7 linked regions of the Neurospora crassa OR74A genome follow. The protein of the gene in region 6 purifies or fractionates together with the protein of the main gene of each other region. This does not show direct contact. Links are inferred from orthologs where the notes say so. Each region holds a gene or a part of one and is shown on either strand. Other genes may lie near its edges. The genes, in order: NCU09843, pod-5, NCU08668, NCU09437, NCU03952, NCU07011 and NCU04348.

Region 1 (4,107 bases), on a different chromosome or scaffold from region 6:
GGTGTTAGAAAATAAAATAAATAAAAAAAGGAATGAAAGGATACACGGCATGTCTCTGTCCGCTATTCTTGTATCTATATCATGAATTAGCCGTGATCTAAACCTCTAGGCCTAGGTCTCAAGGAGAATTCGAGTAGGAGTAGTACCATGTCTCTAGCAGCAGCAGCAGTATGGGTAGGTATCAGCGGGCCTCCCCGTCGTCGTCGTCATAACTTATACTATCCAACTATGTTAAAGCACCAGATTGTAGATAAAGACTAGAACTTCAGTTTGACAACCTGAACACTTTGGTGGCCCTGAGACTTCATTGTGTTCCTTCTCCTTCGTCGGTCATCCGCCTCGGGGGTGCAGTGTCTTCAACCTCATCTGCTCGGCAACTGAGTTGCAGTCATGACAAAGAAATTAATCATGTGATCGGATGAGAAGCGAGTTTCACATTGCTTTTCTCCATCACGACGAGCAGCCAGCGCGTTTGATGATCTCCGAAGTTTGATCTTTTTTTCTTTTTCTTTTCATCTCTTGATGATTTTGTTTTCTCATCTCAAAGTCACGAGTAAAAAAAAAAAAACAAACTGCGAGTAGCCGGCTTGTGACGTTGGTGTTTTTGTTGCACAAACCGTTATCAGTTTCATACGAGTTGTCCAGGCGCTTGTTATTGACTGAATGGAGTGTAAAGAGAAAAGGTTGTGACTTGTAATTGATATTCTCCGTCTTCACTCTAAGCTTAGCTCATGGTTCAAGTAGTTTTCATACGCGCTTCGTTATAAATACATCTGTGGCTAGATAAAACATTCAAGTCATCATCAATACGCACGCTGTTGTTGTTGTTGTCAGCAACAGGTTACTAGACTACCAACTCGCTACCATTTCGAGGCCAATGCTCCAGATACACATCCCTAATGACATGTTAATCATAGATTCACATACCGAGGAGATGATGATTGTCAATGAGCGTGTCATGCATCAAAATACTCTTGGATTTTTACTCCAGTCAATTAATTATATGTCAGTCGACTGTCTCCAGTTGATAAAGGCGACAACTTACACGACTTACAATCACGACGGCGGGGATGCAGCACGATAAGATAACGCCAAACATTCACACGACATGGAAGCCCAAGCAGACCAATCAAAAGAAGGAACTTGTGAAGAGGACGGGACCCTGGAAGCTTGGCGTTTTCTGGCCTGGGGCTGGTCACTATGGTACCTAGTCGCTGTAGGTAAACTTTATCGGCTTGGCGGGGCCTCCAATCGATGGCTCCAACCAATGGCTTTTGCATCGCATCGCCGTCAAAAAAACTAAAATTCCCACTTGGAGATTTCAACAATTCGTGAACTTTGAGCCCCGCAAAGTCACCACCACGACAAGACCTCGACGCGTGCCTCCCTCCCCCAATCCGATTTCGACCCTAATCGACTTCCCCCGATTCCGATAACCGAGTATCCTCTCTTCAACACTACCCGAACTAGACGGAACGAACCTACCACCCATAACCAATCCGTAACCATGGCAGCCGAAGTGCAGCCGCTGGCGACGCTCAAGTTGCCCACGGTCGTCAGCCCCATCACGGCCGAGCAGCGCTACTGGAAGTCCTTCAAGAACCAGAAATCACACACCTCGACGGCAGCATGGCCCATCTCGCACATCAGCTTCCCCGGCTCCAGCAACGGCTCGGCCGCCTCGCACTCCCTCGTCGCCGCCGCCAAGACCAACGACCTCTTCGCCGTCACCTCGGGCCCCCGCGTCGACATCTTCTCCATCCGCAAGCGCGAGCTGCTCAAGACCATCGGCCGCTTCGACTCCCAGGCCCACAGCGGTGAGATCCGCGCCGACGGCCGCGTCCTCGTAGCCGGCGAGGACTCCGGCAAGATGCAGGTCTTCGACGTCGGCACCGGCACCCGCGCCGTCATCCTCAAGACCTGGCACGTCCACAAGCAGCCCGTCTGGGTCACCAAGTGGTCACCTACCGAGCTGACGACGCTCATGTCCTGCTCCGACGACAAGACGGTCCGTCTCTGGGACCTGCCCTCCAACGCGCCCTCGCGCCTGTTCGCCGGCCACCAGGACTACGTCCGCAGCGGCGCCTTCATGCCCGACCGCAACAACCTCCTCGTGTCCGGCTCCTACGACTCGACCGTCCGCGTCTGGGACGCCCGCGCCCCCGCCGGCTCCGTGCTGACCTTCAAGCACGCCGACCCCATCGAGGAAGTCCTCCCCTTGCCCGGCGGCACCACCCTCTTGGCCGCCACCGGCTCCGCCATCTCCGTCCTCGACCTCGTGGCCGCCAAACCTTTACGCCTCATCACCAACCACCAAAAGACCGTCACGTCACTCAGCCTCGCCTCCAACGGCCGCCGCGTTGTCTCCGGCTCTCTCGACGGGCACGTCAAAGTCTTTGAAACCACCAACTGGAACGTCGTCTCCGGCTCCAAGTACCCCTCGCCCATCCTCTCTCTCTCCGTCGTCGCCGCTGGCTCAGGCCACGAAGACCGCCACCTAGCAGTCGGCATGCAATCCGGCGTTTTGTCCTTGCGCACCCGTTTGTCAGGCGCCACGGCGGAGAAAGCCCGCGCCCGCGCCGCCGAAGACGCGCTCATGGTTTCAGGTGCCTCTTCCAAGCTCGCCAAGATCGACTCCGCCAAAGCCAAGCGCAAGCGCAACGCCGCCTCCAACAAATCCATGGCCTTGCTCGGCGAAAACGTCGACGTGATCATCCCCACCGACGCGCCCAACTCCGCCGGAGGCCGCAAGCGCCGCGTCAAGCTCAAGCCGTGGCAGCGCGACTTTCGCGAGGGCCGGTACGCCGCCTGTCTGGATGCCGTGCTCGACCTGTCCTCTCCGGAATACCAGCCCGTGACGGCCCTGTCCGTGTTGGTGGCGCTGCGCCACCGGTCTGCCCTCCGCGAAGCCCTGGAAGGCCGCGACGAAGTTACTGTCCTGCCTTTGTTGAAGTGGGTCATCAAGTACATCTCGGATCCGCGGTACGCGACCGTGTGCGTGGACGTGGCGTTCCAGCTGTTTGATATCTACAGCGAGTACGTGGGCGGCAGCTCCGAGTTGGCGGATCAGTTTGCTGTGATGACGGGTAAGGTGAGCAGGGAGGTGGAGAAGGCGCAGATGGCGATTATCACGAATGGTATGGTGGAGAGTTTGATGATTGGTGGTGCTGAGGCTTAGGAAGCTGAGCGAGCTTCGGACAAGGCCCTTGAGGCTGCAGTTTGACCAGAAGAAGGTCATGATGGTTGGAAGGGAAAGGGAATGGAAAGATACGGATGAGCTGTGTGGATGGATGGAGCATAAGAAAGATGTAAAGAACGGATGGGATGTGTTGTTATACCACAAAGCAGGAAGGACGGGGAAGGGGGAAAAAAATGGAGAGGGTAAAGGATCCCGGATGTGTTGGTTCGGTTTGGTTCGGTTAGGTATCATGGTTTTTTCTTGATATCAAGCCCTGCATGGCGTCGGCGTTCAAACATTCTTTTTTGGCTTTTTGTACTAATCTGGGCTCACAAAAGTATACATACGGTCACATAAAATAAGGGGTTGGGACTAGATACCTCGAGATAGATACCTTAGGAGAATCAGTAAAAGCCATTCCAAATGCCAGGCTTATTGCGTGACCATGGACTCTTCTGGACGACGCCACCACGATCAAGAGCTTTATTGCAGTGTCAACATTCAGCGTATCCAATAGAATTATGACTATAAATGACAACGTAAACATCTCGCTCCAAAGTCCTCGCTGAAGATCGCTTCAACTTTCCACTTAGTCATAGTCCTCCCTCCTGACTAGGAGAATAGAATGAGATACAGAAAGAGTCTCTCCGGTGAGCCACTCACCACCCTCTGGTATCTGGCCAGACATCGAAAAGAACTCCCGGTCTGCCTCTGACGCCTGCTTTTCCAAGTGCCTTCCTAGGGCTGACTGTTGACAGCCCGACCAGAACTGCTGTCCCACTCTGTCATTGAAGACCGCCTCAATGGCGAGCCGTTCCCTTCTCGGGGGGTTTCCAACACGATAATACTATGTCGTCGTCTTTTCTGTTTTTTGCAGCCAAGGCATCAACCCAAGATGTGTTTGAGCATCAGATGCTTGCCGAACCAGC
Region 2 (4,241 bases), on a different chromosome or scaffold from region 6:
CCATTTCCTGCAAAGTATACTCAACAAGGTAACTTTCATCCACCAGCTCTTCTATGCGCTTATAGTGCCTCTCAGTATACACCCTCAACGCGTTGAGCACCTCCTTCAGACTCTTCTGTCCCCTTGCGCCCTTGACCGACAGGTTGGAGAACTTGTTGGCAGGGTAGAGTCGGACGAGCGCCCAGAGGATGCGCTGCGCCACGGGCGCCGTGCGCGCATTGGTGTTCCAGTCGCGCAGCCTCAGCAGGAGCAGGAAAATCTGCTCGTCGGAGAGGTTACCAAGCACCTGATCGACGGCCTTGATACCGCAGAGAGAGCCCTCTTCGGGGGCGTTGGTAGTGACCACGTTAGTGAAGATACCCAGGAGACGACCGGGGTGGTTGAGCTGCAGCGCCAGAATGATAGCGTCACGGTAGGCGCCGGCGTGGATGTAGTTCTCGAGCTGCTGCTCCTGCTCGACGAGCTTGAGGGCGGCCGAGGACGCGGCGGCATGGGTCTCAGCCGAAGTGTCCTTCCAGAAGGTTACGCGGGAGTCGGAACCACCAGACACAAGCATATTGGTCTTGGGGTGCACCGTGAGCGTCCAGAGACGGTCTTCGTGGTTATCGAGCGTGCACTCGGTCTCACCAAGGTTGGCGTCCCAGACCTTGACGAGGGAGTCGGCGCCCGCAGAGGCGAACTGGATGCGCTGCTTGGCCTTGGAGGCGGCAGCAGCAGCCTCGTCTTCAGCGTCGTCAGCGGCCTTGGGAAGGCGCAGCCAAACAACCTTGAGGACGTTATGGGAGTGGCCCTCGAATGTGCGCAGACAGGTGTAGTCCGAGAGGTTCCAGAGCTTGATGGTCTTGTCACCAGAACCCGTCAAGATTACACCCTTACCGGAAACAGCAGTGCCGGTCTCGCCTTGAATGGCAGGCATGCCCTGAGGCGCGAACCGAACCGTCCAGACACCCCTGCGGTGACCCTTGAGGATACCTACGACTTCTAATGTTGCGGAATCCCAGATCTTGACCGTCTTGTCTTGTGATGCCGAGGCAAAAAGCTTTCCGTTGGGGCTGATGTCGAGAGCGTTGATATCCTTCTCGTGGGCTAAGCGACGGAGACTGGTTGAGACGGCTCCCTTTTGTGATGTTCGGGGAATGTCACGCTTCTGAACGAACCGATCCTGGGAACCGGAAATGAGGAATGCGGGCGGGTGGTCGAGGGGGTTCTTGAACGCCTCCGAGTTCTCGGGAGGTACGATCTTGGGGAGTGCGACAGCGCCGACAGACTCGATGTGGCCAGTGAAGACTGCATAGCACTCGAACGAGTTATTGGCTGGGTCAACCCTCCAGAGGCGAGCTGTGTTATCCTTGGCACCACTAGCAACCCAGTGGCCAGACCAGTCTACATCGAGAGACATGACAATATCCTCGTGTCCCTTGAGTAGAGCTACGTCATGGCCAAAGTATGCCGCGCCCTCCTCCTCGTCGCCCAGCTGGGGCTGCTTATCCGCCACGGATACAAGTCTGATATCTTCGGAGTTGGTTGCAAGAGCCATGAGAGACTGATCGGGCAAAAGGTAAACAAGGTCGAGAATTTCGTCGTGTGTTCCCGAGATGCGCCTGAAGGGTTCCAGAGGCTTCGTCGACTTCTTGGTGGCATCGGCGACCGAAGGTGTGCGGTAGAGGGCGAGGGTGAAGTCAGACTGGGCGCAAACAACAAGGTTCTTGTGGGGAAGAGCAAGGGCTGACACTATCGACTCGGCTTCCGACTTGGCGTCTTGCTTTGCTGTGATTTCTTGGTGTGTGGTTGTGTCCCATAGCCTAAGTAGGCCACTTGTTCCAGCCGAATACATCAAGCTTCCGTTGTTGAGGAAGCCGACAGCTTCAACGCCTTCATGGCGCAACATGGGTGTTCCCCTCCATGTCCCCTCCTTCCACAGCCATACTGTCATTGTCTTATCTCTGCTACCGCTGAGAAGGGCATGTAGTTCTGGTGAGTAGTCAAGGCTTTGTACGTTGGACTCGTGCGCTTCTCTCCTCGAAGTCGGGTCGGCGTAAACGGGGTAGGTCTTGCGTTTGCTGAGGTCAAAGATGCGGATCTTGCCGTCCTGTGTGCCGTAGGCAAGACGGAACTTTGAAGCGACGCTGTCATCCTGAGCTTGCTCCTCCTCGGCTGTGCTCTTTCGCCTGTTCTTCTTGTTCTTGTTGCTGGCTTGGTCCTCGAGAGCGGCAATCTCGAAGAAGTGGAGGGCAGAAATAAGGACACTCGGGCCGCTAACGGTATGGGTAACGTATCCTCCGACAATGTCCCAGATCTTGATGGCGCCGTCGGCAGCACCGGTGGCAAGAAGGGTGCTAGTTCGGTCGACCGCGAGAACCACGACGGGGGTGGCGTGGGGCTTCGTGGTGCGTACAAGGGTGGCTTCGATGGAATCGTAATCTGGTGAGACCTTGAGGGAGTATATGCGCATAGTAAGAGAACGAGAGCAGACAATCAGGTGGGAGGCCGAAGGGGTGATGGTGAGGGTCGAGATGGGCTCTCCGTCGCCCTCGATCTCGGCGAGCTGCTTGCCGGTGTTGAGCTCTGTGAGGACGGCCTGCTCGCCGAGGGTGGTCGCGAGGATCCTAGCGCCATTGTCGAGGGCTACGGAACCTCCTGTGAAAATGGGCTGGATGACATTGTTGACCTCGAAGGTCGTCTTGGTGGTGGTTTGCCTGTACGCCATTGTGGTGACGGAGTGTCTGGCTGTACAAGTGGATTAAATCAAACAGAGAGGCAAGGAGGGTTGCGATTGCGCGCCGCCGCCTTTGGGGTTCTGCTGTTAGAACGTCAAGTGTAGGGTGGTACACTGCAAAGTCCCCAATCCCAAAAACTTTTCGCGGGTCGCTGCCTGCCGCCCGCTGATAAGGCCAGGCAATAAGGTTATCTTAGCGCCATGCAGATCCAACCCCTGTAGGAATCCGTGACGAACCACGCTGGAGCACTGGAGCAACTGGAGCATGACCCTCCCTCGGCTTTCTGTGCTCCCCAATCGCCCCCACCAACGTCAACTGTCTGTTCCAGTCTCCATCACTCATCAGCTATACCACCACTATCTTCACCATAACACAATCTCTGGCACAGGACCTAGTTTGTTACACGAGGATGGCCACTGACTGGTCAAATTTCACCGTGTAATGTACACATAAACATCTTGGCAATGCCGGATAGTAATCTACAAACACCTCCTGAATCCAGTTGACCCTTTCACGATGCGGTTGGGCCCACTGACATCACAGGCCCTTGTAAGTCATCGTTGCAAGACTTTCGGGCTACAACTTCGTTCTGACACTAAGGACAGGGCCGGTCTCCCTACGATGAGGTAGTTGAGGGCACTGGCGAGCCCCAACCCGGGGCCCCAGAGCAGTTGTATGATGACCGAGGACGACCAGTGAATCCAGAGACACGGCGCATCAACAGAGACATCATCCGCTCTCACAACGAGGTTATGCTGGTCATCGGCGTTGCCGAACCGGACAGTGGCATCAACGAGGCCCAAGCTCTATACGAAGCCGCCACCAAGCACCAGTACTACGAAGATGGAATTGGGAGGAAGCTGTTCCTCACCGGCGAGGTCTTGGCCACCGTCGGAGTCTGGGGAGTCAACGGCTTGAGGCAGCGTATCTTGCTGTACAAGGACTACGCCCATGTTCCCTTTTCTCGTCTATTTCACTTTCACAGGCGCCAGCAGTCATGGGGAGAGTACCTCTGGGCCGGGCTGCCATCGTATGTCCTGAGCGATAGTTTTGCTGGATTCGACATGCCAGAATACCCATGGGTCAAGTACGTGTTCTCCTGGGTCAACTTACACCTAGAGATCTTCGTCTTCATGCAACGAACCGGCCTTGTGAACACCTCGAGATGGGTTCCCACCCTTGGTTTCTTCATTCCAGGCTGCAATGACTCCCCAATCTTCCTACCAAAACTCCCATCCTCCTTTACCCCTGGAAGCATCATCAGCTGGCTCGGCGCCTTTGTCGCCGGTATCGCCCCTTTTGCCGGCTACTGGTTCTTTTCAAAGACATACGCCCGGCTCGTCTGGTCACTTAGGCGGAAAATCCAACGACGCTTGCCCAAACCCATCAACTTCAGCAGGAGGAGGACTCTTAAGGAGGTAGTCCCCTATTTACAACCGCCCAGTGGAACATACATCCCTCCCACACCCACACCAGAAGAGCAGCAACAGCGACAAGAAACTCAGCCACGAACACCGACACCAA
Region 3 (3,319 bases), about 740 kb from region 6:
CACGCCCAGCACAGCAACTAGGTTTCAAAAGGTATATATGTTCCCACAGGGTACAGCCATCCTCGACCGTTTGAATACATGCATGGAAGAACTTGTGCATCTGATCTTCACTCAAATAACGACAAGAGCGGTCTTGGCGGATATGCCCGATGATATAGTTTGACCAGGACGTATATTGGAGTATGGTGTCCAGGCGACGTTTTGAGAAATGTTCGCAACCTTCCTCATCTACGTCAAGCATACGCTGGATGAGTCCTTGAAGTATGCGAAGGGCGTAAGTCGGGTGAGTCGTTAAATATGATCCCCTTTTGACAGCATTTGCGACAGGACAATTGGTGAAGTTGTATCGAGTGTTGACCGTATCGTCAGGGGCACTCTTCCTCGTGGCTGGGATTTGGAATGTGCTCATGGTGGGCCAATTAAACCAAACGCCGGCCGGTTTCTGTGCAGCGTCGATAAGTAGGGATATGACAAAGTGACGGAAATGGAGATGCTCTCATAGCAAAAGGAAATCAGGTTGGGTATCAAGATGACTGAAGGCAGAAAAATATATACAATTGCCTAAGGGAAAGAAAATCAACACCACCCATCTCTAATGTCTCGGAGTCGCTTTGACGACAGAAATCCCACAGGTACATGAACGCTCCGTGTCTCAAACCTATTGTTCGGGGGCCAAACGAGAAGGTTAAAAGATCTTGCTGAGCACTCTTTGTACTTGCTCGGGCTGTGTCTCATCGAGCTTCCTCTTCTTGGCCAAGGGTATTTGCTTGAATGTTCTCCTCTTATCGTCGTTTGTTGTCGTCGTCGTCGTTGCCGCCGCCGAGGGAATAGTAGATTCTGTGACTTGGGCGGCACCCTCACCGCCCGCTTTGCTGCCCTTGGACGCCTTCTTTGCCTGAATGCCCTGCAGCACCTTGGCCCTCTCCACGTTGCGGACGAACTCCTTGTTTTCTTTGGTTGTCTTGGAGATTTCGGCGCGCATTCTGCTGGATCGCTCGGCGTTCTCAGCAGCGATTTGTTCGGTCAGGTTGTGCCACTTGAAACCCTTGAGGTAGAGCAAGTTCCAGATATCGTCGCGGTAGTAGGATCCCTTCTTGCCTCCGATTGGACGGGCATTGAGGAGTTCGCATGCCTTTTTGGCGTCTGCAAACAAACGGGTTTTCTTGTTAGCGTCTTTGTACTTGGGTCTCAGCGAGTCTCACGGAATGAAGACCTACCCTTCTTCTTGACAAACTCAATCCAGCCTTCTGTAAACATCTTCTTTTTATTGCCTCCGCTGCGAATGCGCTTGCGTCGCGCAACTGGGTCCTCGGGGGCCAGGAAAATGCGATTCAACTTTCCGTACGGCTCCAGCAGGGAGCGCAACTTGGCAGGAGTCATGAAAGGTGGTACCCTGGAGATGTACACCACTCCCGACTTCTTGATGGCCTCCTCCGTGACGATGAGATTCTTCTTTGTGAGAGGCTTCGTCATGCCCGGAAGGTCACTCGCTAGTACCGACTTCTTCTCCTTCTCCTTCTTTCCATCCTTCTTTTCCTTTCCATCTGTTGTTTCCTGGCCGTCCTTTGCAGGTGCATCCTTGCTTTCAGCATCATCTTGGTCGTGTTCCTCCTCTGCGTCGGTAAAGTCGTCGGCTTCGCTGTCCTCGTCATCGCTCACTCTTCTGCGCTTGGCGTTACGGCCACCCTTTTGGAAATCATCCTCCGAGTCAGAACCGTGGCCCGCATCGTCGTCGCTATCGCCAGCATCGAGGAACTTGTTTCTGACATCGTCCTCCGGCATTGTCGATGGATGATTGACTTGTGTTTCTAATTGGTGGACTTTTTGTTGTATGCTGAAAGTTTCGTAGGTTGAATGATTGGGTCGTTATGGGGAGATTTAGGGCAGTCGGGTGTTTGTTTGCGTTGGAGAAGGATCACGACGCGATTCGCAAGTCTTCTTTTGGCGTGGAAGCGCTGGACGGACATGGCTGCTGCTGTTTCTCAAAATTTCTGGCTCCACTGGGGGCCACAGGCAGGAAGGGACCGTGCACGCAGGGCCGATAAGAGATAACAAAGTATGAATGGGAATGGAAGTTCAGGTTGGCTGATCCCGTCCCCGCCTTAGGTTCCTTCCGAGGTGGAGTTCATACACTGCAGACCCGACCCCGCGCTGCCAACAACTCTTTATCTTATCAAAGCTCCCCCGGCCTGCCGCCGAGAAACGGAGCGGGAGCCACTCTGTGTGCGGCAGTGTGATGTCGTGTTCCTGTTTGTTAGTGAGACGGCGACGGGAGGGGCGACATGGTGTCATTGGGTCATGGGAATCAAGTCGGTTTGCTCTTTTCTTCTTGTGGAAGGTATAACGAATTATAGTACTAAGTACTAGAGTAACTGAACTGTGTCTTTTCTTTCCCTTTGACTCGCTCTTCCTCCTTGTGACAACCAACACTGCATCCCACTTCACCATCCTTATCACTCGATACCTGGCCGATAAGCCTACTTGTAACAATGTCGGTCGAGGTGATCACCACCATCTCTCCCACCACGGGGGAACCCATCATCACTCGCAATGGCATTTCAGAGGAGGAACTCGTCCAACTGCCCGAGACTGCCTTCAAGGCCTTCCAAGGATGGCGCACTACCAAGTTGGAGGACAGACAGATCATCGTCAAGAAGGCCTTGAAGTTGCTGGCCGAGAAGCAGGATGAACTTGCAGAGGAACTCACCGTCCAGATGGGCCGCCCCATTGCTTATACTGCCAAGGAGGTTGCCACTGCCATCAAGCGCTCAGAGTATCTGCTCAAGATCAGCAACGATGCTCTGAAGGACACCGATGGCGAGGAGGAGAAGGGATTCAAGAGGTTCATCCGAAAGGTGCCTGTTGGTCCTGTTCTCATCATCTTTGCTTGGAACGTAAGTGGTGTCCATCATGTTGTTTTGACACTCCATCCGTCACCTCTAACTTTGCGCAGTACCCCTATCTTATTCTCGTCAACGCCTTGATTCCCGCTTTATTGTCTGGAAATTCGGTCATTCTCAAGCCCTCGCCTCAGACACCCACAATTGTCGAGCAGGTGGCCAAGGTGTTTTCCGAGGCTGGGTTGCCCGACGGAGTCATCCAGTACTTCCACTCGGGTTCGCCGACAGTGATTGAAACAATTGTGCGAAACCCCAAGATTGCCAACATTTGCTTTACCGGCTCGGTTGCTGGTGGCCTGGCCGTCCAGAAGGCCGCGTCCGATCGCATCGTCAACGTCGGCCTCGAGCTGGGTGGCAAGGATCCTGCATATGTTCGCGGTGATGTCGATATTGCCTGGGCTGCCGAAGAGATTGTCGAC
Region 4 (4,262 bases), on a different chromosome or scaffold from region 6:
GTTCATGAGCGGATCGATCTTGCGCCAGGCTTCGAGACGGGTGGCGATGGCGGAGCGTTCGGACGATGGCATGTCGCTGTTGGTGTCGACGATGAGCGGCTCGGAGCGCCAGTCCCATCTGCTGACGAAGAGGAGGGCGCGGAGAAGGCCGACGGAAGGGGAGGAGGGTGCGTCCCAGGGGTAGGGGCTCAAGAAAGTCTGGAGGGCGACGAGTTCAATGAAGTCGGGGGTGAAGTGGGAGGCGAGTTTGTGTGAGGAGAACCAGTGTTTGAGCAGGCGGACGGTGGGCGAGAAGGCGGGGAAGCGGGTGGCGAAGGTGTTGATGGATTGAGTGTGCAGAGGGAGGTGGTAGTAGAGTCTGCGGAAGTTGGAGAGGAGCACGGAGGCTTGGTGGCGGTGGTGTTGGTCGATGGTCTTGTCGTGCGATTGGCGCGTGAGGAGGGCCTCTTCGAGGTCAGAGTGGATGCGCAGGCGGAAGGCAGGACCGGACTCGTAGACGATGTCGAGGTAGGCGAGGTTCTCGAGTTCCGTGTTGGTGGTGGTAGAGGACTCGAGACCGACGTAAGAGCGGACCTCGCCGGGCTTGGAACGCTCCAGGAGGTCGCCGATCATGCGCAGGAAGGCGATCTTGGTGCGTTGGATGGCCACGATGGATTCGGGCCACTTGCCGGAGGCTTCAAAGGAGATGACGCATTCCAGGGGGCGTGGGCCGGATTTGTTGACGGTCGAGAAGGGCACCTTGACGGAGGCGTGTCGCAGTTCGGGGCAGATGGGGGCTATTTGCCTGACGTGCAGCGGCATGTCGTCCAAGTCGCGGATATCCTTCTCGAAGGAGGAAAAGGCCTTGCGAGCGGCGTTGAAGACGGAGGTGTCGGTCGGCTTGATAGGAATCAACTCGGTGAAGCCATCGCCGTGGAAGGTGAGCTCGTCCTCGAGGTAGCCAACGCGAAGATGGAGCTTGAGGATGTAGCGCATAATTTCCTCGCAGAGGTCAAAGGGGGAGGTGGACGACCAGATCAAGGTCTCCCTGATAGAATCACCCTCGAACCGACGAAGTTCCGATTTCTCACCCCAGAACCGCTGGAACTTGGCGCATTCCTCCTTCTCCTCGTTGCTAGGTCCAGCGGCCGGACCGCGGTCGACAGAGCGGGTCATGTTGGCGGCATTGAAGAGGACACCAATCTCGATTGTGTGGTTCTGCTTGGTGGAGGGTTTCTTGGTGAGATCCCAGGATGAGCTCTTGGGTAGTTGAATGTGAATCGACCGAGCCCTTTCACCTAGTTCTTCGTCCTGAAGAGCCCGCTTGAGAACCCTGTGCACCTTGTCGCTGTATTCCCATAGCCGTCCCCGGCAGTCAATCGGTTCTGTCTTGTCCTGCTTTCCATCGTAGTTGAGGTGGGCAATGAGGTCGTAGTTTTGCCAGGGGAGGTCGGCCTTGAGGATGAAGGTAGGGGTAAACTGGTCGGCAGTGCTGTCGTTGAGAAGGCTCCTTGTCCACTTGGCGTGTTGGTGTAGCTTGGCCGCAGACCAGTTGCTCATCTTGAAGGCAACGTTCAAACCACGAACAGCGTCGAAGAGAACCGGACCAGTGGTTTCGGACTCGACGGTGGCAGTTCCCAAAACACACGGCTTCTCGGACAGGTTAGTAACAGACAAGAACTGGACCATGGCCTTGAACAACTGGGTGGCGCTCAGGGATGTAGACAAGGGCGCATGTCCCTTGGTGCTGTCGCCGCTTTGGAGCAGAAGGGCCAAAAGTACCGCCCATTCAAAGTGACCAAAACCACCGTCCGCCATATCGCTTCCCAGTCCTCGTTGTTGCAACCACACCCGACCCAGGATGCAAGCCTTCTTGAACGCGGCGCATTTCTTTTCGGTTTGTCGCAAGAGCTTCAAGTAGGGAAAGAAGCAGGACTCGGAAACAATCGTCGAGTTGTAGAAGGGCGTAGGCTTGGTCGCGGCCTTGGACTCGTCACCGCCAGCTTTGCGCACGAGGGTAGCGCCCAAGTGAAGCTTTGATTTGGGGAAGAAGTTGTCTGGGGCGCAAGGGATGATGCGCACTCTGTAGTCCAGCTGGCCCTCCTTTTTTTCTCCTTCCACCTTTGGTTTCAACGACAAAATGGGGGACAGGGTGTTCCCATTCAGGTATTCGTATGAAAGCTCTCCATCATCAGCCAGGTCCTTTTGTAGGGCAGCAGCCACAACACCGAGGAAGTAGGCTCTCTTGTAAAAGTATCGCAGGTCGAGGTAGTCCTTCTCTTGCAGAGTCTCGCCGGGGATCACAACCACCATATCCACAGCATGGCTCTTTTGGGCCTTGATCATGGTCTTGGACACATAGCTGCCGACAACGTTGAACTGGGAAGGCTTTGCGAAGGCGACCTTGTAGTTGGACTTGTCGGACGGGCGCGGCTCGGGGAACGGGATCGGGATCTTGTGTTTCTTTTCGAGTTTGGTGGCAGCCTCGGCGATCTGGAGGGCATCGTGGGCTTCGATGGCTTCGATGGAGCCCTTGATCTTGTGGAGGAGGGAGTCGACGCCTTCGAGGGCCGTGGCATAGTCGAGCTTCACTTCGTCGACGAGTTCTTCGGCTTCGAGGATGAATGCGCGGCCACGCGAGAGACCCGAGGAGGCAGCGGCGTCGATGTTGCCAACTGCGCTTTCACCGCCGCGTGAATGGCCAATCTTGCGTCGTTTTGCTGATCCGGGTTCCATTGTATGTGTGGCGGTGGTATAGGTATATGATGGTGATGGTGGAGGAGGATGTCCTGGGAATGGAGACAGGAAATTGATAGTGACAAGACACTGAGAGAGAGAGCACTGAAAGCCAAACAACAGTGGACCGAGCGTCGTCCCTCCAATTGAAGTTCTGCAAATTCGAGTCTCGTTCAAGTTTGCGACGGGAATTCCCAAATTTTTTGAGACTCTGGAGCTCCGATAAGAGATAAGAGGTCAATCCACAAACAGGGGCAGTGGAAGACCCGACAGGGGCAGTCGGGTGGGGCAATGTTGGTTGGTTGCCCCTGTGGGGTTCAACTGACAGACAGTGAGCGCCCGGCCCTTATCTCAGAATCAGACCCTCTTTTTTAGGCATGGGCGGCCTGCGGCCGCTGGGAAAGTGCGCTGCGCGCACATCTGGCCCGTGCGCTGCGCGCCCGGGGTTCTCAAAAAAAATAATAAATTGAAAGTTACTAAAGTTTCTAAATTGTGATCCGTGTACCCATTCTTTTAGTATACTTTCCGGTATTGAATAAGAACGCCTAAAAAAGAGGTTTGAATTCCCAATTAGACTAGAAGCGGATAGGGGAATTTATATTGATAAACTTCTAAGAAAGATAATATAGCGTTAAAATAAAACAATAGATTTAGGTTATACAAAAGATATGAGGAGAAAGAGTTCGTTGAGACGGATTTAATGGTATTATTAATTTTTTTCTACGACTATTGAAAGTATTAATTATTATAGAAAATGTAAAAACTTTACGTAAGTCCGTATATTCAATGCCTAGTTAGCTATATATTACAGTACGGCTTTTTATCCCAATACTATAAAACTTTGTAGGTATAGATATTATACGACTATTAATATAGTAGTATAGTTTTCTTTACTCTATAGTACGTTATTTTTTTTCCTTAATTTTTTCTATCCTCTATAGGTATTAATACTATAGATCCTAATTTCGATCCCTCCGTTGACCCCTAGCGTATATTGCGGGTAATAAAAGATATTATTAGTAATAGTAAAGACCCTCGAAAAGGCTAGGTTAAGGCGGTAGTACGGTTGGCGTACGAATAGAAGGATATAATATTAGTCGCAGTAATGGGCTACGGAAAAAGTATTGTCCTATATATATTTTTAGCTTTATATAATAAAATTACAATATAGATTATACTGTTAATTAAGTTTGGAGAAAGTTAATATAATAATATTATTACTAAAGTGCTAGATTTAAAGCTAGTATAGGTAAATAAAGATGTGACTTTAAAAGTAAGTATTCTGCCCTTTTTTACGAATCTTAAGTACCTTTATTAATTTATATATAGAACTGGGATATTTGGGACTAAATTTAATGCGGCGATTATACTTATATTCTATTGAGCCCGGAACTTACGATAAGTACGAAATTTAAGGCTGTATTGCGGTCCCTAGAATTCTATAAACGGATTAGTCTTTTCGCTATCGATAAATTATATTGCGTATTAGAATAGTGTGATTTTAGAAAGGAATTTTAGTACTTATATACCTTACGACCTTTATTACC
Region 5 (4,278 bases), on a different chromosome or scaffold from region 6:
CTCTCACCCTCACATAGAGCCTGCCAGAAGGGAGGCGGATATGGAAAATAGAAAAGAATGAATCGGCCCGTCCGGATTTTCACAAGGAGATCTCCTTCGCTTGACAAATTAGGTAACATCCGGCAACTCAAAAGTATTTCCCGTCCCTCCATCTCGACGTATCTTCCAGCTCTGTAACCAAACAGTGTGCGATTGGCAGTTACATAGTGTGAGCCAACCGAAACTTCTCTCGCGACCTCCTGTACGACTTTGGAAATGTTGCCGTTAACTTGGCCATTCTACTCTAGGTAGGTAGCAGAGATAGATGGTGTGATGCGATTGGACCGAGCAACGCCACTTAGCGATCAAGTTCATGTGTCGTACTATACAGGAGGCCACTGACACTTGATGGGATCCTCGCCGTTCACGACAGCAAGTTAGTGGTTACATAGCAAACATCTTCACCGTGAGGTTCACAGTTATTTCCCGGCGAACATGAAAAAGAGGTCATATTGAGAGCACGCAACGCACGACCATAGAGGCTGGGATCACCAAAGCCACCATCGCCCTCACATTGACCTCGGCAACCGCTAAAGAACATGATACAATTCCCTGGCCTGGGATACGAAGGTCTTGAGTATCACTCGCAGCTCGGCTCGGCGGGACACTCTCCCGCGAGTTGCATTCAATGAAGGCTTAGACGGTCCAGACCCTAATGCAGCACGTCAACGCTGCTGTCGTATTTTGAAAGAATACCTCATGGTCCGTCAAAATTCTCACGGGCGATACCATATGCATAGGGATGTGGCTTGTGAAGGAACTTCAACAAGTGTTATGACTTGCAGCATCTTTCCCCGAAGGTGCGCAAATAACACCCTTACATTTCTACTATGTAATAAGAGCTTTCTCTGCACGTTATCCAGACCATGAAGAAGAGCCGGCTGGGTAAGTAGCCTACCTCTACAGAAAATAGTCCATCAACGTCTGTCGCAGAGATCTCATTACGATGTTGAAAAGAACACGAGAAGCATACTGTAATGTAGCTAGTATGAGGCAAACCTAGCGCTCTTCCTCAATGGGGTTAATCGTTGGTTTAACATTTTACAGTTCTTGCACAATTTAATTACCTTTTACCGTTTGACAAGAAACTTCCAGTTACGACGAAAGTGAAGCGGCGAAAGATACAATAGACTATGTACGAGCTGATGGGATTGATAGGGTAGTCTGGAATTTTAGATAAGGAAGTGCTGATAACAAGCTAGGTGCCTGTGTCGAAACGGCGACTTCACCTATCCAACAGCACTGGAGATCGTTGCGTGATTGCTTACTGAGTTTCCAGTAACTTCAGAGTAACTCGCTAGCGTATGCTATATTTAAAAAAAGGTCATTGTGAATTCATCCCCTCTCTCAAGCTTGATGTCGAGCATCTCCTTTGAGACTGCATGCACTTTGTGGTTTGTTTACTTGACATTGTCATCCGATTATAAGTGTTAAGGCAACCTCGTCTTATAGCGGTGCACCGCCCTGAAGCTTAACAACAAGAGAAGTGGGACCTACTTCCATTTCCAGAGAGCAGAATCACCCATCATTGGTCAATTCACAGCCAGCCCCATAAGCTGGTGCGGGGACGCCTGCCTCCACGCTTCGCCGTTTCCTGGACCTTGGAGAGCGCTATGGCAGAAAAAATTTTGGTCCATCAATATCGCCGGCTGGCAACCAAACATCGTCAGGTCGAACTTTTTTTTGTTTTGGTACGGGCAACGGCAAACACCGACGCCCTGCCATTTCTTAGTCAAGCGTCCATATTGAACCCTCAAGTCAGACACTTGTATGACAAGGCCAGCCTCGATACCCTAGCCTTGATTGATCTTCTTACAGCATTAGTCCAACCCTACCTAAAAAACAGACATGGCAGCTGGCAGCATAACCTCTTCCGTAACCTCGACATCCCAAACAATCACCCACGACCCCTCCACACACAACAGCGTCATGGCCGCTACCCTCGCCGCATCGTCGAGCGGCAGCACCTCTCCTTCGACAATTGCCAACAACCCCGTCGTCGCCTCCTTCCTCTCGGCCCTGGCCGACGAGTCCAACCGCCACGTCTTCCTGCAGCCGCCCTCGACCCTTCCCGCCGGATCCCTCCTGCTCGCCAAGGAGACCCTCGACGCGCTCGCCTCGCAGGTCAGTGACCACCAGCAGGCAAAGCTGAAAGAGATCGCGGCCACCATCGGTGGAAAGAAGCGCAAGCGTGAGGCTGGCTATGACAAGAATGCCGTGCTCAAGATTCGCAAGCTGCACGTCGACGACGGCTTCGAGACGGAGCAGATTTGGCAGCAGGCCAAGAAGATCATTGCCAGCGCCACAAAGGAGGCTGGCGATGTGCTGAAGGAGCTGGAGGAGAACGGGATTGTGGGCACCGGCGAGGAACAAGAGAAGACCATTGAGTTTGGAGAGGATGGGTTTGAGCTTGGTTCTGATGAGGAGGAGGAGGACGATGAGGAGGATGCTGATAGCGAATCTGGTTCTGGCTCTGAAGGAGAAGAGGATGAGGAGGATGACGAAGAAGAATTAGAAGGAGAAGAGGGCAGCCAGATCGACGACGATGAAGAAATCGAGATCGATGGCGAAGAGGTTGAATTCTCGGACGAAGATGGAGAAGGAGAGTTTGATGAGGAGGAGGAGGAAGAAGAAGAAGAAGAAGAAGAAGAAGAAGAGGAAGAGGATGCGCCAGAACTTGTCGAGGATCCCAACGGCCTCAACGACGGCTTCTTCTCAATAGACGACTTCAACCGGCAGACACAGTTGTGGGAGGACGCGGATGCCCGTGCGGACCCCAACGTCGATGCCGACAGCGACGACGAACAGCTAGACTGGCACGCCGATCCTTTCGCGACAAAGCCAAAATCAAAGAAGGGCAAGAGCGACAAGAAGAAGGACGAAGACCAGGATGAGGACGACGTCGACATGGGCGATGAATCCGAAGACGACGAGGCCCTCGAGGCTGCTGCCGCCGCCCACGCCAAGAAACTCAAGGGCAAGAAGAACGTGGAGCAGCTCGAGGACGATGGCGACGATCTCGGCCTTACAGATGGTGTTCTCGGTATGGACATGGACCTTACCGCCAACGACATTTACTACAAGGACTTCTTCGCGCCACCTCAAAAGAAGAAGACCGGCAACCAAAGGAAAGGAGGCTATTTCCCCAAGAAACTTGAGCAGCCAGATGAGGCCGATATGGAGAGAGCCGAGAATGATGTGCGCCGCGATCTCTTCGACGACATCTCGGAGAATGAAGATGAAGATAAGCTCTCGGATCTTGATGCTGGTGATCCGAGATCTCGCCGGTCCGCCCACGAGCGCAGACAAGCCAAGATTGCCGAGGAGATCCGCAGGCTCGAGTCTGAGCTAGTTGCCAAGCGCGCCTGGACTCTGTCCGGTGAGGCTTCCGCGCAAGCTCGTCCCATGAACTCGCTCCTGGAGGAAGACCTCGAGTTTGAGCATGTCGGAAAGCCTGTCCCCGTCATTACCGAGGAGGTTTCCGAGACGATTGAGGCGCTCATCAAACGCCGCATTCTTGCCAACGAGTTCGACGAGGTTCTCAGGAGACGTCCTGACACCCTCAATAACCCCAACAACGCGCGCCGCGGTCTCGTTGAGATCGACGACACCAAGGGCAAGCAGTCTCTCGCCGAGATCTACGAGGAGGAGCACATCAAGAAGGCCAACCCGGACGAGTACGTCAGCGCTTCGGACGAGAAGCTCACGCGCGACGAGGCCGAGATCAAGAACATGTGGAAGGACATCTGCGCCAAGCTCGACGCCCTCAGCAGCTGGCACTACAAGCCTAAACCCGCCGCACCCACCATCAGCGTTGTCACCGACGTCGCCACCGTCGCCATGGAGGACGCCATGCCCACCACGGCCCAGGGTGTGTCGGGTGGCGAGAGCACGCTCGCGCCCCAGGAGGTGTACGCCCCCGGCAAGGACTCAGTCGAGAAGGGCGAGGTCGTGGCCAAGAGCGGCCTGCCGATTGCCAAGGAGGAGATGAGCCGCGAGGAGAAGGCTAGGAGACGCAGACGCGAGAAGGAGCGCATCCGCAAGGCCGGCGGCCTGGATGCGAACAAGAACATCAGCAAGGGTGCCCAGGAACGCAAGGAGACGATGAGCCAGCTCAAGAAGGGCGGTGTCAAGGTTATTAACCGGAAGGGTGAGACGGTTGGGTTGGATGGCAAGAAGATCGCGGAGCAGAAGGGTCCTACGTCGAGTGGTGCCTTCAAGCTTTAAAGGTCGGGTTGT
Region 6 (3,949 bases):
AGCAAGAGGGAAAGGCGGCATGTGGGCAATTTCCATAAACGGACCCGGTAGTACCTACTAGTCCCAATTCTGAACGTCTACGTGTAAGTGCATCTGGATCCCACCATTAGTTCATTCCCTTACACCGGAGTTTTGGTAGCTCATGGCAGAAAGGCTGGCACTTTCTCGGGTACTACATGGCCATCAACCGAATGAATGGTCGTTAGAATACACTTTTCATGCTACCTTTGGAAACTAGACTAACTCTCAGGCAATTTTGCATGGAGAAATTCCCAGGTAACTCTGGCTGATGTCTTTTCGACTTTTTTTTTTACCATCCCTCTCGAAATTCTGTGATGGCCTTTCCTGACTAAAGCGAGCCGTGTTGGACTGTCTAATTCGGTTATATTTACAGCCACTTCGTCGTCATAACTGGAGGTCCAGTCTCTTTCGTCATTGGCGTGCTTGGATAGACACAGGAAAAAAAAAACCTCTCTAGTGATCGACAATGATGGACACCAAAGAGCCCATTGCGCGTTGACTACTGGTACCAGAAGGTGGGTGTCATGCCAAACTAAACCCTTGCTGGCGCCCTATGATATACTGCGATAGCCGCAGAGAAAATCCAGAAGAACGCTGAAGGTGGGTGTCATTGCGAACCGTATGCCGTGGTACCTCTATGGGTGGACGACCTGAGGTGGGTTCGATGGACGGGATGATGACGCCGCAGGCAACCTAGCATTTCGACGCTGAAGCGGACAGGGGATGGTGATGCTGTGCTGTGCTGTGCTGTGCTGTGTTTCACAAGCAAGAGCTTTTTCGCCCAGTTGGCGGGGCAGATGGAGGTGTGGGGTTTACTGCAGTTTGGAACACAGTCTCGACTTCTGCGATGATGGGAAACGGTAATCCCGGTAACTGAAAGGCTGCAAAATGCGGCCGGGATCGCAGGAGGTTCCTACTATGCAGTACACAGATACACAGTGCTGGATTTAAGCTCTGTGGGTCCTAGCCAGACGGTGGTCCCACATGCGTCCAGCTTTCATGCTACCCCACATGGCGAGGCAGACCAATCACATGAAGCTCCCACTTGCCTGCCCCAACCGACCCCAAACTGTGGCTGAAAATTTCTGGTCCACCGCGACAAGGCTACTATTATCGAAATCTTCAAACTGCGACTTTCAACAAGGCTTTGCAACTGAAAGGCATTCGCAGACATCGTGGTAGTTGGCAGCATATGCCACTCGACGACATGATGCCGCATTCCGATCGCGAAATCACATCCGCCAAGCGGCAGAAGCTCAATGCCTCTGTCGTCAAGTCCAAGGCGCCTCAGAAGAAGAAGAAGGGTTCCTCCATCTTTGCTCCCTTCAGAGTACGTCCCTAATAGCCGGTCGCATGAAGTCCTCAAACTAACACCAAACTCACCACTCATAGACTGTAGGCTTGGTATCTCCAACAAGCGTCCCCTTTACCTCCATCCCTCTCGGCAAGACCACCTTCCAGATCACTACCTCGGTCGGCCGCTCCCTCCAGACCTATGACCTAAAGAGAGGTCTCAATCTCGTCTTCGTTACCCGCCCCCAGACTCCCGCCGACATTACCGCCACATATGCTTGGAAGGAAAAGGTATTCGCCGCTTGGGGTAACCCTCAAAATGGCGAGGCCCAAGGTATCTGGGTTTATCAGCGCGGAAAGAAGGTAGCCGAGCTTGAGCTGCCCGCCGACCTCAACCAGCCCATCAAGCAGATCCTCATCTTCGGTTCCTGGATTGTTGCATGCGCCCAAACCCGCCTCGAAGTATGGAAGTCGGCCACCCTCGAACACTACACGACCATCTTTTCCGTTGCCGCAAAGAAGGGCGACAACGAGCTCACTGGTGGCGTAGTCAACATGCCTACCTTCCTCAACAAGATCTTGGTCGGTCGCAAGGACGGTTGGGTAGAGATCTGGAACGTCAGCACCGGCAAGCTCATCTACACCATCCTTCCGCCCTCTCCCGACGCTGGATCTGTCACCTGTATGGAGCCTACCCCGGCACTTTCGCTTCTCGCCATCGCCTACTCGAACGGCCCTCTCGTCATCCACAACGTCCTTACCGACAAGGCCTCCCTCAAGTTGATGGCCGGATCCGAACACGCCCCCGTTACAAGCATCTCCTTCCGAACCGACGGTCAGGGTGCTGGTCAAGATGGTACAAAAGATGGCGTCATGGCTACCGCCACAAGCATTGGTGGAGATGTCACATTCTGGGATCTCAACAAGGGCGGCAGAGTGATGGGTGTACTCCGGAGCGCCCATAATCCCCCATCACACACCGACAAGACTGTGCGCGGAGGCATCAGCAAGGTTGAGTTCCTCCCAGGACAGCCCGTTATCATGACCAGTGGTTTGGACAACTCGCTCAAGTCCTGGATCTTCGACGAATCGCCCTTCTCGCCCGTCCCCCGTATCCTTCACATGCGCAGCGGCCATGCCGCCCCCGTCAACTGCCTGCAATTCTTGCCAACCGATTTCGATGGCGCCGAGGCCGGCAACAAGTGGCTTCTCAGTGGTGGCAAGGACAGGAGTCTGTGGGGCTGGAGTTTGCGCCGCGATGGCCAGAGCTCTGAGCTCAGTCAGGGTGCTCTTCGCAAAAAGGCCAAGAAGGTGGGTATTCTTGCTAATACCGCCCTCGGCGGCCACGGCCCGACTACATCTTTGGACGACCTCAAGGCTCCCGAAATCACATGCATCGCCTCCTCGCTCAACCGCGATGGCGGCATGGGCGCTATGCCCGGTAGGCAGGTCATCTGGGACAAGGGCAATGACAAGAGCAAGCCGACCAAGTCCGAGCTCGCTGCTATGACCGGCTGGGAAAGCGTAGTAACAGCTCATAAGAACGACCCCTGGGCTCGCACCTGGTTCTGGGGCCGCAAGCGTGCTGGTAGGTGGGCGTTCAAGACCGGAGATGGCGAAAATGTTTCTACCGTGGCTATCAGCCCTTGCGGCAGTTTCGCTCTTGTTGGCTCCGTTGGTGGTAGCTTAGACATGTTCAACCTCCAATCCGGCCGTCACAAGCAACGCTTCCCCTCCCGACTCACTCCCGCCCAGATGCGCCAGTTGAAGATGCAGCAACTTAAGGCTCTCGACAAGGTGAGCCAGCTCGAGAAGCGCGCCTCCTCCAAGACCTCCTTTGCCCCCGGCTCGGGCAAGCACACCAAGTCCGTAACCGGCATCGTGGTCGACCCGCTAAACCGCTTCGTGATTTCCTGCTCTCTCGACGGCACCGTCAAGTTCTGGGACTTTGTCACGGGCAACCTAGTCGACGAGATTGACTGGGCGCCCATGGTGCAGATCACGGGCTGTCGCTACCACGCCGGCAACGATCTCATCGCTTTCGCGTGCGACGACAATTCGATCCGCGTTGTCGACATCGAGACCAAGCAGACCATCAGAGAGTTCTGGGGCTGCCGCGACACCATTAACGACTTCACCTTCTCCAACGACGGCCGGTGGATCGTGGCCGCCTCGCAGGACCGCGTCGTCCGCGTCTGGGACCTGCCGACGGCTCACCTCATCGACGCCTTCCGGCTCGAGAAACCCTGCACCGCCATCGCCTTTTCCAACACGGGCGAATACCTCGCCGGCGCCACCGAGGGCGAGCTGGGCGTGCACATCTGGACCAACAGAACGCTGTTCAGACACGTGCCGACCAGACAAATATCCGAGAAAGACATTGCCGAAATCTCGGCCGGACCTACCAGCTCAGGCGAGGGCGGTCAAGGTCTCATCGAGGCGGCCTTTGAGGATGAACAGGAGGACGAAGAAGATGAGGGCGTGTCTGCGCCGGTCCTCGATCAGCTCAGCGCCGACATGGTGACGCTCAGTCTGGTGCCCAAAAGCAGGTGGCAGACGCTGCTGCACATTGACCTGATCAAGCAGCGCAACAAGCCCAAGGAGCCGCCCAAGGCGCCTGAGAAGGCGCCCTTCT
Region 7 (4,092 bases), about 1.2 Mb from region 6:
TACTTCAGCATCCTGTTTCTCGTCCGAGAATCAGAGATGGAGTAGATGGGAAGAGACTGGAATCGGCGCCAGCCGAGGGAGAAGATGAGGGGATCTCCCGTCTTGAGAATCTTCTTGTGCCAACGGTGCTTCTTGATTCTAACTTGCACAAAGCCGAATCTGTCCTCCGTGGCCGAAAGACCTCCGACAACGATCGGCATCCGTGGCTTAAAGTTCTTGACGAACTCTGCTGGGACACCCTCGATGACCATCCTGGCGTACTTGCCGGCCTTGTAGCCTTCGACAGCGATCCTTTGGCTTTCATCAAGGTTCTCGTATTCCGCCTTGTTGATGTCGAGCTGCTTCTGGATCATGGCCTTTTGAGCATCATACCAGTCGTCCTCTCCAAACTCGTCATCATTGCCACCTTCTCGCCTGGCAATCGCCTTGTCGTTCTTGAAACCTTCACGATCTTCCTCTTCGAAGCGAAGCTTGAGCTCCTCCTTTCGGCGGGCGTTCTTCTCACGCTCGGCTTCAAGGCTTTCTGCTGGCTGCTCCTCTCCTTCCTCCTCTTCTTCTTCTTCATCCTCGTCGTCAGCGCCGTGCTTCTCCCCTGTCTCGAGATCCTCAAAGGCACCGTCACCTTCATCATCGTCGTCCTCGTCATCAAGACCCTCGAAATCCGAACCATCTTCGCCCTCGCCCTCAGCGTCGTCAAGTAGGTTGGCGGTGGCGAACTTGTTTCGGAGAGCCTCGACAGCGTCCTTGTCAGACCACTTGGCTTCTAGTTGTTCGTAGTCGAACTTGGGAATCATGCGATCCTCCCAAGAGTCCTCCTTGTCCTCCTTGCCAGTCCTCCGGAAGAAGGTTTCGTCGTCCTCTTCGATATTCTCTTCGATCTCCTCCTCGTCGTCTTGACCGGCCCATTTCTTGATGGCTTCTGTGGGGGCCATCGACTCGTCGTACATGTACCTCGCCAAGTCGACAGCGCGGAAGGGTTTCCTCCTTCCGTGTATCTGACTTGCGCGCTCCATTATGTTGTCCTTCCACTTGAGCTCAGGATCCTCCTCGTCGTCCTCGTCATCGTCAAAGTCGGATCCTTGGTCTTCATCGCCGGATATCGAACCAAGGTCGGAGTCACTGTCGGCAAAGGCGATGTCCTCTTCTTGGTCGTCGTCGGTCTGTTTCCTGAACATCTTGCCCAGCTTCATCTCGTTGAACTCGGACTCGACATCGGATCCATCCTCCATCTCATCTTCCTCTCCGCTTTCGAAGCCTTCGTCCTCTGGCGGTTCACCACTCTCACCATCGGCAAGTCTGGCGGTTCTTCGGCTCTTGCGGCCAGTGTTTCCGACATCCTCGTCCTCGACAGGGAGCTGGTTGATCTTTTGTCCGCTCGCGAACAGCTTGACACCCTCGTCCGTTTGACCAAGGAGACGCCTCTCGTTCTGCAGGTCGATGATGAGCTGTTCTCCTTCGCCGCGCTCAATGCCCACAGCATCCTTGTCAAATGTGAAGCCGTTCTCCCTAGTGATAACGATGTGATCGCCAGTAATTTTCAAGCCGCTGCGGTCCGCCATGGGCGCCCAGAGCTTTTTGTCCTTCTCGTCGAGTCGCCTTCTGCCAGTCTTGCCACTGGCCTTGGCCAGCGCTTGTTCCATAGCGGGAGTCGGGCAAGGATCCGGCAATTGTTCCATCTCTTTGATTGTAAAGTCGCCCAAACCAGCAATATGTACCCTTTGGCCCTCGGCGGAAAAGTTTGTACCACGGAGGTAACCGGAGAGTTCAATCGTTCGGTCGCATTTCTCGTCTTCTTCAATCTGGGTGGGGTGGGTGACATCGCGGTAGTTGTCGATGATGGTGTAAGGGTGGGAGTTGCGCCAAACGAGCGGGCGGGGGTTCTTCATGACGGACAAGAAGCGGGAGAGGTTGTGGATTTCGCGATCGGGGTAACGGCCGTTCAGGACACCGGAAAGGTAGAAAAGGTGGGCACCCTGGTAGAGTTCGCTCCAAAGTCTGTGCTTTAACCTCTTCTTTGCCTCCTTTAGTGCTTGGGGCTTCCTGAACAGGTCGAGATGGGTGAGGATGCCAAAGACGTTGCCGGGCATACCCGTGGCGGCAAGAACGTTAAGGAACTCCATAGTCTCCATTTCGAAGCCGAAGTTTCCATCGATCATGAGAAGGACAATGTCGGCGACCTTTGCAATATCGACCATGGCCTCGAGTTCGTTGGCGCATTCGATGAAGGTCAATCTCTGCTTCTTGGAGGTGACGACCGTGATAGGTCCCACCGGATCTTGGATGGTTTCCTTTGCATATCGTCGGATGAAAGACTTGAGAAGGGTGGTCTTTCCTACGCCAGGGGGGCCTACGATGGCGACGAGTCTTGGGGGTGGTTCATCGGGGAGACGGTCGACGGCGGGGACATGAAGACGCTTCTCTTTGATCTGCGGAACAAGACCAGTTAATTATAAGAAGTCATTGAAGGATGGAGCGAGGGAATGTCTTCTTACATCGTGGGATCTGGCGGCTTGTCTGGCGAGTTTACCAGGATTGGAGAAGGCAAAGGCCTTGGGGTTCTTTTCTGCAGGGACGGTCAGCTGTGGATAGTAACGATAAAAGAAACAATTGAATACACATACCACCTGTATGCTTGGAGGCCCCCTTCTCCTTGGACTTCTTGGAAGCCCGATGGGGTTTGTGGGCTTGGACGTCGGCCATGATTACGGCTGGTGTCCGTGAACTTTTTGCAAGTTCAGTAGTATAGATGGACACGCGGTCGCGAAAACAGGTGCAAGTGGAAATGCGACGGGACTCGCTCCCAATTCAACTGCTGCCAAAAAGCTGCTGTCCAAATTTTTTGGATAGTCGGTTTTCTGATGGAACGCCAAGACGTTTATCGATAAGCGATAAGATACCTGAATAGTGGGACCTCTTTCCGCGGCAGGCGACGGGACCTATCCCCGGCAGCACCCGCTACTAAGCAGTGGCAGCATGCGGGGAGTTGGAGACCCTGACAGGCAGTCCCGACCTTCAAGTCTTGGAACCTTGAACAACAGACGAACCCAACGTATAGTCCCGTTTCTTATCTTCAACCAACTACTGGGTGAGCTGTGTCTTCGGAGTAACTATTTCCAAAGGTTTATACGAAGATATTCCGTTGGGTGGTTGAGATATCTTGTGCTGTCTTGAGCATGACCAACCTAACTACCTCTATTGTACCAAGCCCTCCCTCACTGGTGGAGACTACATACCACGCTATGTAAATGCATTGGATTGTTCAGGGACCTCCCAACAAACGGTTGAAGAAGAGTCGAGACCATGAAAGAGCTATCATAGTTGATAACTTGCGGCCTCGACATAGGAACGTCGAATGGGCCCGCAAAGTCAAACAGCCATGGGCCATGGCAGCCCTTCTTGCATAACACACCATTTTGAGGGTTACATACGTAATTGTCGCGGGAAGGAGGGTTTCCGATTTACACACATGAGGAGGGTATGGCGTATAGGCTAGGCTCAGAGTTACAACAGATAGGTAACAACATCCAAGATCCTGAGTAGCAAGATGGTCGGAAGATGACTGGATCCATCCTCCCACACCACTCCTAGTGTCTCAGCCCGCGCCTAAGCGCTCGTTAGGTGGTTGTGTGCAAGGCTGTCTTGTTGGGCGCTGAGATGAAGGATTGTCTCTGTCATCCCCACGCCTGGCAGCCAAAAGAGTGTCACAAGTCACAAAACGACCTGCGGTAGGCGCAGCAAGTCTGGTCCAAGTGGATATGACGTATCATCCGCTCCAGAGAATGCTAATGTCCCTGGTGCCGCGTCACTTGTGGCTCCTGACGGCGTGGCAGGAAGACCAATCTAGCATGATTGCCGCTTATCTGGCACATGTGCATCTGTGGTGTAGGTAGTTCGAGTCCACTTGTGCATGTCCCTTGATCACGTATAAGATGCTCCTTCGTCCGCTCCTCGAGACGCAGTACCGACTTTCCAAGTTCACGACCAACCACTACACTCTGTTTCAACATTTCCATACAGCAACACCAACTTTTTCACCAAACAACCCTCCCACCACCGCAAAGATGCCTTCTTACATTGTAAGCATGCCGCACT

The links.
Region 1: the proteins of NCU07011 (region 6) and NCU09843 purify together in Saccharomyces cerevisiae (affinity purification with mass spectrometry, with the first as the bait; 4 studies listed by BioGRID). This does not show direct contact. The link is inferred for Neurospora crassa OR74A from reciprocal best matches to the Saccharomyces cerevisiae genes UTP21 and UTP15.
Region 2: the proteins of NCU07011 (region 6) and pod-5 purify together in Saccharomyces cerevisiae (affinity purification with mass spectrometry; 6 studies listed by BioGRID). This does not show direct contact. The link is inferred for Neurospora crassa OR74A from reciprocal best matches to the Saccharomyces cerevisiae genes UTP21 and UTP13.
Region 3: the proteins of NCU07011 (region 6) and NCU08668 purify together in Saccharomyces cerevisiae (affinity purification with mass spectrometry; 3 studies listed by BioGRID). This does not show direct contact. The link is inferred for Neurospora crassa OR74A from reciprocal best matches to the Saccharomyces cerevisiae genes UTP21 and ESF2.
Region 4: the proteins of NCU07011 (region 6) and NCU09437 purify together in Saccharomyces cerevisiae (affinity purification with mass spectrometry; 5 studies listed by BioGRID). This does not show direct contact. The link is inferred for Neurospora crassa OR74A from reciprocal best matches to the Saccharomyces cerevisiae genes UTP21 and UTP22.
Region 5: the proteins of NCU07011 (region 6) and NCU03952 purify together in Saccharomyces cerevisiae (affinity purification with mass spectrometry; 4 studies listed by BioGRID, with this or other methods). This does not show direct contact. The link is inferred for Neurospora crassa OR74A from reciprocal best matches to the Saccharomyces cerevisiae genes UTP21 and MPP10.
Region 7: the proteins of NCU07011 (region 6) and NCU04348 purify together in Saccharomyces cerevisiae (affinity purification with mass spectrometry; 3 studies listed by BioGRID). This does not show direct contact. The link is inferred for Neurospora crassa OR74A from reciprocal best matches to the Saccharomyces cerevisiae genes UTP21 and BMS1.

The regions. Positions count from the first base shown.
Region 1 is NC_026505.1:5,923,452-5,927,558, reverse strand, and holds NCU09843 (WD repeat containing protein 57), read left to right. Parts: upstream 1-1,325; 5' UTR 1,326-1,507; coding exon 1,508-3,178; 3' UTR 3,179-3,607; downstream 3,608-4,107. UniProt on the Saccharomyces cerevisiae protein: Involved in nucleolar processing of pre-18S ribosomal RNA. Required for optimal pre-ribosomal RNA transcription by RNA polymerase I together with a subset of U3 proteins required for transcription (t-UTPs).
Region 2 is NC_026505.1:1,894,631-1,898,871, reverse strand, and holds the start of pod-5 (polarity defective-5), read right to left. Parts: upstream 2,801-4,241; 5' UTR 2,708-2,800; coding exon 1-2,707. Other genes in the region: NCU03627 (hypothetical protein), read left to right, coding at 3,234-3,266, 3,323-4,241. UniProt on the Saccharomyces cerevisiae protein: Involved in nucleolar processing of pre-18S ribosomal RNA.
Region 3 is NC_026504.1:4,159,950-4,163,268, reverse strand, and holds NCU08668 (pre-rRNA-processing protein esf-2), read right to left. Parts: upstream 1,957-3,319; 5' UTR 1,783-1,956; coding exon 1,218-1,782; intron 1,144-1,217; coding exon 686-1,143; 3' UTR 501-685; downstream 1-500. Other genes in the region: NCU08669 (betaine aldehyde dehydrogenase 2), read left to right, coding at 2,490-2,894, 2,954-3,319. UniProt on the Saccharomyces cerevisiae protein: Involved in the small subunit (SSU) processome assembly and function, and in the 18S rRNA synthesis. Required for the early cleavages at sites A0, A1 and A2. Stimulates DBP8 RNA helicase ATPase activity.
Region 4 is NC_026507.1:182,558-186,819, forward strand, and holds the start of NCU09437 (hypothetical protein), read right to left. Parts: upstream 2,801-4,262; 5' UTR 2,716-2,800; coding exon 1-2,715. UniProt on the Saccharomyces cerevisiae protein: Involved in nucleolar processing of pre-18S ribosomal RNA and ribosome assembly.
Region 5 is NC_026506.1:2,220,895-2,225,172, forward strand, and holds the start of NCU03952 (U3 small nucleolar ribonucleoprotein Mpp10), read left to right. Parts: upstream 1-1,478; 5' UTR 1,479-1,887; coding exon 1,888-4,266; 3' UTR 4,267-4,278. UniProt on the Saccharomyces cerevisiae protein: Involved in nucleolar processing of pre-18S ribosomal RNA. Required for the early cleavages at sites A0, A1 and A2 during 18S ribosomal pre-RNA processing.
Region 6 is NC_026504.1:4,898,662-4,902,610, forward strand, and holds the start of NCU07011 (WD repeat containing protein 36), read left to right. Parts: upstream 1-1,149; 5' UTR 1,150-1,213; coding exon 1,214-1,351; intron 1,352-1,413; coding exon 1,414-3,949. UniProt on the Saccharomyces cerevisiae protein: Involved in nucleolar processing of pre-18S ribosomal RNA and ribosome assembly.
Region 7 is NC_026504.1:3,692,681-3,696,772, reverse strand, and holds the start of NCU04348 (ribosome biogenesis protein), read right to left. Parts: upstream 2,801-4,092; 5' UTR 2,701-2,800; coding exon 2,622-2,700; intron 2,564-2,621; coding exon 2,493-2,563; intron 2,427-2,492; coding exon 1-2,426. Other genes in the region: NCU16822 (hypothetical protein), read left to right, coding at 3,930-4,076. UniProt on the Saccharomyces cerevisiae protein: GTPase required for synthesis of 40S ribosomal subunits and for processing the 35S pre-rRNA at sites A0, A1, and A2.